2 linked regions of the Drosophila melanogaster genome follow. The protein of the gene in region 1 purifies or fractionates together with the protein of each later gene. This does not show direct contact. Each region holds a gene or a part of one and is shown in the gene's direction. Other genes may lie near its edges.

The links. Proteins that work in one complex are often made in the same cells at the same time.
Region 2: the proteins of Pak (region 1) and dbo purify together in Drosophila melanogaster (affinity purification with western blotting, with the first as the bait; one study listed by BioGRID). This does not show direct contact.

Annotation. Positions count from the first base shown.
Region 1 is NT_033777.3:6,349,345-6,353,934, forward strand, and holds the start of Pak (p21-activated kinase), read left to right. Parts: upstream 1-1,551; 5' UTR 1,552-2,007; intron 2,008-3,778; exon of another isoform or gene 3,779-4,195; intron 4,196-4,590. Other genes in the region: Hr83 (hormone receptor 83), read left to right, coding at 1-523, 957-1,168.
Region 2 is NT_037436.4:15,825,020-15,832,543, forward strand, and holds dbo (diablo), read left to right. Parts: upstream 1-1,868; 5' UTR 1,869-2,077; intron 2,078-2,926; 5' UTR 2,927-2,983; coding exon 2,984-3,032; intron 3,033-3,299; coding exon 3,300-4,018; intron 4,019-4,166; coding exon 4,167-4,858; intron 4,859-4,996; coding exon 4,997-5,186; intron 5,187-5,251; coding exon 5,252-5,473; 3' UTR 5,474-5,559; coding exon of another isoform or gene 5,560-5,584; 3' UTR 5,585-6,985; downstream 6,986-7,524. Other genes in the region: DCP2 (decapping protein 2), read right to left, coding at 452-560; CG12713 (uncharacterized protein), read left to right, coding at 7,509-7,524. UniProt on the Drosophila melanogaster protein: Probable substrate-specific adapter of an E3 ubiquitin-protein ligase complex which mediates the ubiquitination and subsequent proteasomal degradation of target proteins. May have a role in synapse differentiation and growth.

The DNA of each region.
Region 1 (4,590 bases):
GTGCGGCGCGGGAGCAGCTACGCCTGCATCGCTCTGGTCGGGAACTGTGTGGTGGACAAGGCGCGGCGGAACTGGTGTCCCTCCTGCCGCTTCCAGCGATGCCTGGCCGTGGGAATGAACGCTGCTGCGGTTCAGGAGGAGCGCGGTCCGCGCAACCAGCAGGTGGCTCTCTACCGCACTGGCCGGAGACAAGCTCCGCCATCTCAGGCGGCGCCATCCCCGACGCCCCACTCCCAGGCGCTGCACTTCCAGATCCTCGCCCAGATCCTTGTCACGTGCCTGCGCCAGGCGAAGGCCAACGAGCAGTTCGCTCTGTTGGATCGCTGCCAACAAGACGCCATCTTTCAGGTGGTGTGGAGCGAGATCTTCGTCCTGCGAGCGTCCCACTGGTCTCTGGACATCAGCGCCATGATCGACGGCTGCGGCGATGAGCAGCTCAAACGGCTCATTTGCGAGGCCCACCAGCTAAGGGCCGACGTCCTGGAACTCAACTTTATGGAGTCCCTAATCCTGTGCAGAAAAGGTAAAGCTCCGCCTGTGCGGTAAAAAGGCTTGTTAGGATTTAAAAATAAAAGCGGTTTGAAGCCATCTAACCAATTTTCAATGTTTTTACACATATTGACGTGATTTCTTAGACGAAAATTTAAATCCTATGTACGCTATGTATAGATTTTGCTATTTGATTCTGCATGAAAGAGTACACCCAAGCAGTTTTCTTAACCCCAGAAAAAACGTTTCCGTTTTGGGCTTAATAAATTCAAAAGAAAATTTTCCAGCATGTGCAGTTGGTTTGTTTGAACCAACCATAAAATTTGATTAGATTCAAGATTAGAGACAGATTTAAGACCTTTTACATCGTTTTAATTTAATTAAGAGTTTAATAGGAAGTCAAACCACCATTAGTATATCCCATTTTAATACTTTTAATTGCTTATATCGATTGCATGTTTTTACAGAATTGGCCATCAATGCGGAGTATGCCGTTATCCTGGGAAGCCACTCTAAAGCCGCCCTGATCTCCTTAGCCCGCTACACCCTGCAGCAATCCAACTACCTGCGGTTCGGACAACTGCTCCTTGGTCTGAGGCAGCTGTGCCTGAGGCGCTTCGACTGCGCGCTTTCTTGTATGTTTCGCAGCGTGGTCAGGGACATCTTAAAAACACTTTAGGCTCATATCTATCTTCATCTTTCAAAATTAAAGAAAAACCTAGTCTTAAAGAGGGTACTAGATAATGGCTGTTTTTCTGTTCGCCAGTTCAAACATCTAAAGTAACTTCGCTATCTGAAGTTTCAACCCATATCTAAAAATGCATTCATTTCTGTCAACAATCGTTCATGGAGGCATTTAGACACGCCCCAAACTTTATTGGCACTATGCAATTTGTTGGAAATAAAAATATTTGGAACAAAGAGATTATTATGAACTCAAAATTTGATGTGGTATTTTTTGAAAAACACTTTTTCAAAGGTCGCCAATCACAATACAAAAAACTCATCGATATGTTGTGAAAAGTCACGGAGCGAATATATTCGTTTCTGTTCGCTATCGATATATTGATATATTTTTGCCATCGCTACATTGTCTGCTGCGGCCGTCTTGTCGTCTTTCTGTAATTATTTTTCGTAGTTAACAAACCCCTGAATAATGTAAACCAATTAGTGGGTGATGCAAGGACCGAAAATGCGCGCGCGTTGCTAAAGAAGCTAGAAAGCGAGAAAGTTTGCGGAGCGCCATAAGATTGCTGCGCTTTAACTGCTGCTGGTGCCTCTCGTCCGTCGGCCATTTATGACACACACCAGAGAAAACTGGAAAACAATACAGTGTGTGTGCGGTTTGGAGTGTGTGCGAGTGCGGCCAAGTGTTGTGGGCTCGGAAAACTCCAAGAAGCCAGTGGAGAAGTGGTGTCCACGCGAATCCGTGAATCGCAAGCGTTTCTTCTTCGACTGCAAGCGGCGTACAGGGTGCACCGTGCAAAAGAAAGGCAGCCAAGGCATATTGTACTTGCAGTGAGTTCAAGTGGAGAGTGGTGGCCGAGTGGAGCGGGTAGAATGGTCTTGTGGAGAGCGGGGCGAGGGAGTTTCATTCATAAAAAGAGAGTGCACCGTTAGTCCAATTGGTCTGGCTTCCAATGCACAGACAAGCACACACACACCGCCTAAGGAGAGGTTGCACACATTGATTTTTCCAACTCACGTGTGTGTGTGTGCGTGTATGTGGATTAAAGGAAAACGTTTCAAGTGGTTTCCACGCCACATTATTTTGGATTAGCACATTGCTGCTCCCGAATTTCCAGCCCAAAAATAAAGCAACCAAATGTCAACAAGCTGGAATGCCCCAATGCCCCTTCCCCCGCTATTAACACACGTGACACGATACAAGACATTTACATAAAGCTCTAATAACTAACAACATTTCGCAGTCGATTTGGCATTTAACAGTTACCGCTCTAACGGCACATGTCCAGTGCGCCAGTGCACCACCCCCTTCCTTCGTTCAACGAAAAACATATTTGCTTAGCACGGTCACAGGTAAAAGCGGAAGGGACAGGGACGCGCGGAAGCGGTCGCGGTAGGGAACTGAAAAGAGGAATATAAAAGGCATAACATTTCCGCCTGCTGCTTTCGGCTGGCGTCCGCAACCAAAATAGACAACGTCGGAGCGGCTGAGAGTCTCCGTCGCCAGCAGTTATGCGTGGCAACTCGCTAAATATGCACCGACCATAATCATCGTATCATTTTTAATGCTTACATTTTGTATATTGATACTAAGATAACTTACTTAAAGTCTTCGGACAGCAGAAGGTGATCTTCGTCATGTTTTGGCTTCATATTTATACAGCAATCCTCGGAAAAATTGCGTAAAATGAATTCCATGAATAAATTCTTAAGTTTAGTTTTAATAGAAAGTTAACATAAAGCAGTCGTCAAAGTAATCAAGAAGCTTGATCACAAACTTTGGCTCCGCGTAAACGTGGCGAAGAAGTATGCATATGTTTGTGGCTTCTTTCAGCTCTTGGAGCGAGCGCCACGTTTGCGTCGCTGTTGTTGCAACATGCACCTAGGCCTGCGTCACTTTGAATGTCCTACCCTCCTCCCTTCCGCTCCCCTGCGTTTGACAACCCCTGTCGCTAATTTAAATGCCGCAAGTGTTGTCGAGTTTCCTGTGCCTACAATGTGTGTTTTTCTCATTAGGGAATAATTTTGCATGGGCCCCTGCAGAAAGAAAAACATTTTTTATCGATTTTACCTAAAGTTCGACCGTCAATGAAATCAAACACAATGCGGTACATCGTTAACCCAGTTCTGGGCGCCCACACGCTCCCGAAAAGTTTGTTCTTGCTTGATTTAAAAACGAATTTTCACCTATGTGTGTATGTTTGCATGCATATTATATGTACATACATATATACGTTTATAGATCTCTGGGCAAGCAGCCAGTAAACCAACGTATGCCCATAAAGCCTATAGTACAGATATACAGTTGCGGTCAAGAATATATCACACAGCAAGTTTACTACTTTCTATTTGTCGATACTCCTTTACTTTTTATCTTAAATTCAGTATGTATCGACATACATACATATGTAATTGAAATCAACGAGCGTATCTATTGAGTAAACAATCTACTTACATCGGTGAATTTAAAAACAATTAGCAAGAAAACATTGCACTTGATAAATTGGGGTAGAAAGGTAATGTCGGAATGAACCGCATGACACATAATGATTTGGGTATTTTATCCTATGATTCTCTTATATACTTATGTACACATATATGTACATATATTGGTCACTAAGAACCCTTTTTTCTGATGATTCAAAAGTTGGAGTTGATATCTTATTAGATCCCCGCTATGCTATTAAGTTGACCACAGCTGTTGGAACTGTATGTTAATGTTTGTCCAACGTTTTCACACTTCGCCACCCCCTCGTCCCAGACTCTCCGCCTCCCGTTAGCTGCATTGACTCTTGACGCCTGACGATGATAAATGAATCATAAAAGCAGCGCAGTCGACGTCGCCGGCAAAGCAGACAGGCGCCAAAGCCGCCTTGCTCTCCTCGCCACTCTGCGCTCCCACTCCTTTTCGCCCTCTCGCTCATATGTTTGGCTGCGATGCCGCCCACTCGAGTGTGTTTATGTTGTTGCTGTCCTCGCTGCTTAATTTCCTCATTTGTGTTGCTGTAATTCCCAATGCGTGAGCTGCTTTGTTTTTATTATGAGTGCAATCGAAGCCACTCTTGTTATCGCAACGAATTTTTTATGGCTCTCGATCGTTTACGTGGGCGAGAGCGGAGCAACTGAGGTAGAGAGGATACCCTTAAAGTGTGTTGTGTGAGAACAGTGGTTTGCGTCTAATGGAAACTGAAATTAAAATATAGTCCTTTAATGATTATTCCATTTTGGGTCATATTTTTTAACTCCATATGCTCTATAGGTGCTCCAATGAATATTTAAAATAAATGAACTAAAAGTGAATAGATGTGGGTATACAATTATGATCAATGCACACTTAACTTAAATAGGATAATATTTTAAGTTCCTCACATAGATGCGCAATAATTGCTGAATTGAAATGTATAGTCTCAACTA
Region 2 (7,524 bases), on another chromosome or scaffold:
TATTTACTTTTTATCTTACCAGATAAAAAATTAGCCTAGTTCTTTAGTTTTTAGCTACGTGATATTAGCCTTAAAAATATACGATTATTAATGATGTAAACTAATTAAGGCAAAGAAACAAATGGATATATTTTGATTAAAGCCAAATACTTAAGTCCTTGTGTTTGTATTTATTTTTGTATGATTGCAATATTCTGACTATATTTTATATAGATTATGAATTGCTGGGTGGGAGATATTCTGATTGTCTAATTCGCTTTTGATTATAAAGGATTTTGAAACATAATAATCATATAATATGGATAGAACGTGAAGTTCTTTAACGAGAAAGTGTGACTCTTTCGAGCACGTACTACACTTTATGCTTTGTATTTACATATATTTTATTATTTTTATAGTTTATTATGAACCCACTGGAAGTGTACCGCTTATCATCTAGAGACCCGCCTACCGTTATCATCCTTGCTGCTACTGCCGACGCTAGCAGAGGCAGAGACGGCGGCAGAGGCAGAGGCTGTGACGACAGCGACGGCGTTATTGATCAGTGGTGCGATTTCCATAATATTTATTTAGATATCGGAGCTCCGTTTGTTTATGTAATACACTTTATTGGCTTTACTTTTTGTGTTTGTCTTTTTCGCAAAATATTTTTGTTTGTTTGTTAATTCACATTCGCGTCTCTCTCTGTCTGCACCAGTCTTTCGATACGCTTGTGTGTTTATGTGTGAGAGAGCGCAACTGTGTGTATGTGTGTGAGAGAGCGCAACTGTGTGTGGGTGTACGAATGTGAGTATGTGTGTGTAAGCGTTTTGTCACGTATTTTTACAACGGCGTTGCTTTTGTAGTAAATATGGCTGCCAAGTTTCGAAAATTTCTGCAATCGTCCGCTTTTGTCGCACGAATTTAAATTTCCAATGCAATTTTTGTACTTGTACTCTAGTTATTCCATCGGTTGCATTACATCCTTTTGCTATTGTTCTCTCGATTTTCGCTCTCTTTCCCTCAACATGTTTTGCATTTGCATTTAATTCTGTTGTTGCTATTGCTGTTTTTGTTGCTGTGTCGTCGTTTTTGTTATTGCTATAGTCGTTGTCGTTTTTGTTGTTTGTGTTCCACTCCATCCACAAAATAATTGAGTGCGCTCCACTTTGGTGCGAGGGAGACGGAAAATTCTTCGCACGCACACAGTCTCACGTTTTTCCGTTTTCTTTTCTCGCCCAGTTCACGTACTTTCCACTTTCCAATCTCAAATTATTATTTGCTCACCGAACTTTTTCGCGATCTAAATTGCCTTTATTTACACGTTGCACTTAAAATTAGCTACTATTTTGCACTATTTAACGGGCTTTTCAACTGCTCAAAACTCGCCTTCCTCTTCAGCGTCGCGTATAGAAATAGTATGAAATAAAAAATACCAGCATGCTGCTCACTAAGATACCAAAATATACCGTTTCTTTAGCGACCAGGGAAGCCAAATACAGTTGGCTCTGTGATAAATGTACTCTTACAAAGCCTGTCTTACGTTATTTGCTTATTTTTTCGGGAATATTAAAAGACAGTTTACTAATGAAAATTTTAAGAGATTATTATAATGATTTCAATAATTCACAGTTAGATTCCCTTCCGTTGCACTTACTTGTAGTTGTATACAAATAGTGTTTATTTTATTTTTAATTATTTAAAAATATGTGATCTCTTATTTTAATTTCGAAAAAAAATGTGAAGAGATATTTCAAACAGATCTCCTTAAAATTAGCTTACGTTTACGATTTAATAACAATATCGATATAACGAAATGTCCACCAAAGTATCACAATATAAATAAGTGTATTCTCAAAAATATCGATACACTGATATTGTTATGCATTTCTCACATCTCTATCGCCATACCAATCGTTTCGTGTTTCGACTTTTCCAGGCCAACCAAAAAACGATTTTTCCGTACTGAAAAGTGCAATTCGCGCAAGGAAAATCTTCGATGTGGTCCTTTTAAGCCATCAAGATTGCATTTTCGAAATTTTCCGCCTGCAGCTGGCCCTGGACGTGCTTTGTATCCGTAGAGAACAGAGACGCAAAGGTTGGGACACCAACATATACATCGAAATCTAAACCAACATCATCCGCGTGTGTGTGTGTGTGGTGTGTGCTTGTGGGTGGACCAGGTTACCTTTCAGTTTTAAGGTGTTCCATGGAGTGAATGTTGTAAAAGCGATTGAACATATATCACATGAATAAAAGAGATTTCAGTTTTAATTAAATTAGGTTGAAGATAATTCCACAAGCATATTATTGAACTAGAGAACTGTTTATCTTAACCATCGATTAACTCAACCTGCCAATTTGTTTACCAATTAAAGTACATGTTTTAATTTTAAAACTTAGCTATTTTAAGATTCAAAACAGAAGTTTCAAGTAACGATCTTTTAGCTTAAAGTTTCTAAATATTTAAGGATTATTAATATTTATTTTATATCATTTATACGAATGGTGGATTGTTAAACTTAACGTGTTGAATGAATACCTTAAATAACACTCGTATTAGTGTTAAGATGTTTCTTTAGTCGAAAGGTCCACCTTAGTATCCGCAGATCCGAAGTTGTGAATGTGTGCGTGTTACACAGCATGTCTGTGTGTGGGTGGTGCAAAAGGGCGGAGGACAAGAAAAATAAATCAGAATTTCCACATCCAGTGCCCAGAATATGAATTATTTGCATCAAAAATGTACAATTACTTAATTTATTAAGTAAACAGTCGCTTCAAGAAGATATTAAACGAAGCACAATGTCCTTGTAAATTGATTAGTTACTTACTTACTTATAATCGAGTTCAATGCCGCCCTTCTACGCCCTACCTACGCATTGATTTAATTTACTTTGACTTGACCATTAATCACTATTCTACTATATACTACCATTTCTGCCCACAGATAGACGCCGTGTGGGGTTGGGTTGCTTCCGGCCCGCTGCGCTTAGCAGCGAACAGAATGGGCGACCTGCCGGGCTCGGGCTCCACCGCTCAACCACGGGATGCTGGTAAGGATTTGATAGGAGCTTGGTTTGGAATTGGGAAGAGAGCAAGCCAGGGGCAACCTGTGTGCCTCATGTGACTTTAAATACTTCATATTTGTTCGTAAGACTATGATCTTTCAGCTAAAAAATACTATTAGAAAAGGTTTTTCCTTCATAAAAAAGTATTTGAACTCTCATTCACAATTCCAATTAATCGGTACCATTAAGTTTATTTGTACTATTCCAAACATATGGTATTTTTATACTCAAAATCATTATGTATGCCAACAGCTGTCACCGGTACCGGTGGTAATTCCACGGCTGGTGGCGGCTCCTCCGTTGGATCTACGGCAGTGGACCGACCTCCGTCGCCCGCCCGCCTCTCTCACACGTCCGAGAAACATCCGAAGGTCACGCTCACTGAACTAAATATGCTACGGCGCCATCGGGAGCTCTGCGATGTGGTGCTCAACGTGGGCGGACGGAAGATCTTTGCCCACCGGGTAATCCTGTCCGCCTGCAGCTCCTACTTCTGTGCCATGTTCACTGGCGAATTGGAGGAATCGCGCCAGACTGAGGTCACCATACGCGACATCGATGAGAATGCCATGGAGCTGCTCATCGACTTTTGTTACACCGCCCACATAATCGTCGAGGAGTCGAATGTCCAGACCCTCCTTCCCGCCGCCTGCCTGCTTCAACTGGTTGAGATTCAGGACATCTGCTGCGAGTTCCTCAAACGGCAATTGGATCCCACCAACTGCCTGGGCATACGCGCCTTTGCCGACACACACTCCTGCCGGGAACTTCTACGGATCGCCGACAAATTCACGCAGCACAACTTCCAGGAGGTGATGGAGAGCGAGGAGTTTCTGCTGCTCCCCGTCGGCCAGCTGGTGGACATCATTTGCAGCGACGAGCTAAACGTGCGCTCCGAGGAGCAGGTCTTCAACGCGGTCATGTCCTGGCTCAAGTACAATGTCGCCGAGCGGCGACAACATCTGGCACAGGTGAGCTACTGTAAACCATATCTGATTACTACTCACCGATTCCTACTTGTTCCGTTTGATAATTACTTTGGAATAATATAAACAGCTCAATTTTTAAGTATTGCAACTAATAAATAAATAATGAATTGATATTTTCGAATATTCTCAGGTGCTCCAACACGTCCGTCTGCCTCTGCTGTCGCCAAAGTTCCTGGTTGGCACGGTGGGCTCTGATCTCCTGGTGCGCAGCGACGAGGCCTGCCGGGATTTGGTGGATGAGGCTAAGAACTATCTGTTGCTTCCGCAGGAGCGACCGCTGATGCAGGGTCCACGCACCAGACCGCGAAAGCCAACTCGACGAGGCGAAGTCCTGTTCGCCGTGGGCGGTTGGTGTTCCGGCGATGCTATTGCCTCCGTGGAGCGTTTCGATCCTCAGACCAACGACTGGAAAATGGTCGCTCCCATGAGCAAACGACGCTGCGGAGTTGGCGTGGCCGTGTTAAATGATCTACTTTACGCCGTGGGCGGTCACGATGGCCAGAGCTATCTGAATAGCATCGAGCGTTATGATCCACAAACGAATCAATGGTCCTGCGACGTTGCGCCCACCACTTCCTGCCGCACCAGCGTCGGCGTGGCTGTGCTCGACGGCTTCTTGTACGCGGTGGGTGGCCAGGATGGCGTTCAATGTTTGAACCACGTGGAGCGCTACGATCCAAAAGAGAACAAATGGTCGAAAGTGGCACCGATGACAACAAGGCGACTGGGAGTGGCGGTAGCCGTGCTTGGAGGATTTCTCTACGCAATTGGCGGCTCCGATGGACAGTGCCCGTTGAACACCGTAGAGCGATATGATCCCAGGTAAATCATAAATAAAGCATTTAAAAGCTTTAGACGTACAAGTACATTTTCTATCGCTTGTAACAAATGACCTTAATGTACATTGCACTTGAACGTAGTATTTGTTTGATTTACATTGCCCCGATTTTATCATTACAGACACAACAAATGGGTAGCAGTCAGCCCGATGTCAACGCGACGCAAGCACCTGGGCTGTGCTGTGTTCAATAACTACATTTACGCCGTCGGCGGGCGAGACGATTGCATGGAGCTCTCGTCCGCCGAGCGCTACAATCCACTGACCAATACCTGGAGCCCCATCGTGGCCATGACCTCCCGCCGCAGTGGGGTGAGTTTTTGTTACACTTTTTCTCGGCGAATAGTATTGTATTAAATGAAATCGCACCATTTTAGGTTGGCCTGGCCGTCGTCAATGGACAGCTGTATGCTGTGGGCGGCTTTGATGGTTCCGCCTATTTGAAAACCATCGAGGTCTACGACCCAGAGACGAACCAATGGCGTTTGTGCGGCTGCATGAACTACCGCCGACTGGGCGGCGGCGTGGGCGTTATGCGTGCCCCTCAGACTGAGAACTATATGTGGTGCGAAAATAGTTTTAAGCAACCGAATTCCTGAAACTAACTCAACTCCCATCCCTTCCATTGCTGATGAAATGTTGTCTTGTCTCTCTTTTCCCCCCGAAAACATGCTAACAAATTCAGGATACGGAAAGATTCTGTTGTCTGATGGGAACAGCAGCCGACAACGTTGCCCTCGCAAACGTTGCCGCCGCCGCACTTCTACTAACAATATCCGCAATCGAAGCCAAATCTAATCGACTAAACAAAACATCTTTTCGCCCCATTGTCTACTAGCAGTGTAATCGCTTTGTATTAATTGTTAATTGTTTATTTGGTAGAGCCTAAAGCGCATGTTTGTTAGACTTTTCCGGAATAGTATTAGAGTTAGCATTGTTCCCACGTTCACCTGCAATAACACATCCCCATCACTCCTGTGCGTAATTATATATGATTCTACTGTATGTTAAGCAAGTATATTTTATAAATAACTTAATATCTAAATGTTGCCGGTGGTATTTCATGGAAATCGCTAGCTCATAACCATGCCTTCTTTCGAAAAAAACAAAACAAAATCAAATATTAACCTAGAAACGAATTCGATTAGTTGTAAATCCTTAAACGAAGAGCTCTAAAGTCAAGTAACAAATTGGTATTAAAATAATTTAGATTTAAGGAGTGAATTCAAGAAAGTTTGTCCGAAATTAAACATCACAATGGTGCAATATTTCGATCGACCAACTAAACGCTGTTGTTTAGTCAAGTACACTTTAAATCTTTGCAAACGTCTTCAATAATACCACGACTATATGAAGTGAACCGAATAATTGCAAAGAATTTAAAAAAATAATGAATATTCAGCCTGTCAAGCTTAAAAAAAAACCATTAAGGTAATCACACACACACACAATGAAGAAGTTAGACCTAGCCCAAGATAATTCAATAGTAACAATTAACAATTACGCAGCCGTAAGATCAACTTTAAGGTAATAAATTTTAATATTGTTAATCCTAGATCGTGTAAACCGGTAAGAGTTTTCGGCCGGAATCAGGTCAAGTTTTAAGATGACTTATTGTTAAACCAAGTTTGACCATCGAGCTGAATGAACCAACTCGAATTAATCGCTTAGATAAGGGAGTTAAAACACAAGTAGACTCTCAATAACAACACATTTTCTTTGTTGCCTTTTACACCAACACTATTAAACAATTATTTATTCAAAATTATTATTTATTACACGCTTTCGTATCTCATTTAGTTTATTTTAGGTGCACATTTATAAACTGTTGTTAAATCGAGCAAAAAGGAATGATCTTTGCTTCCAAATGATGAATAAGAATAGCATTTATAAAAAACCAAGCTTATTTATATTATAGCTTTAAGTCAAAATGGTCAACAATTATACAAAAATTCGCATACCACCCATTATGCGTAGTTAAAAAATAACATTTCCTAGTTGTGTTGAGTGGTAAAAGTGCTTAACGCAAATAATAGAAGTGTTAACCTAAGAAATGATCGTAAACCCGTGCTATGTATAAGAATATATAAAAATAAAAATATATCAAAATTAAGACACTTTGTTTCATTCAATACATTACAGCCAAGGGCGGAAATTGCTGCCAAAAAATAATTAAAAATAAATATCCAAGTGTACTATTTTGTATTATATTCTATAATTTATAAATTTGTAATGCAATCAATGTACCGTTACGCGGTACTGGTACGCATCGGTACAATAGTTACGATATTGGATCCTTTACCGATAGCCGATGCTCGAACCCGATTGTTTTTGTTTTAGGCCTTAATTCGCACACACTGATTTGGTGGCACTACACACATTTTGTTATTTTAAACATTTTTCAAGAAGTCAATATTATGATAACAATTTTATGAAAATAATTGAACTAAATGCATTCGGAACATTTCGATATACACTGCCGACCAGTGTGAACGCTTCGCGACGTGGAGAAACTTCAGGCACGTCAGCTATCGATAAATTAAAATGTGTATTCGATTAGCGTACGTTAAACAGCTGTTTATTCTGGCGCTCTTTCATACGTTCGCTGAAATAGTTTTGTATTTCTGGCCGGAAATGATGTCCCAAATTC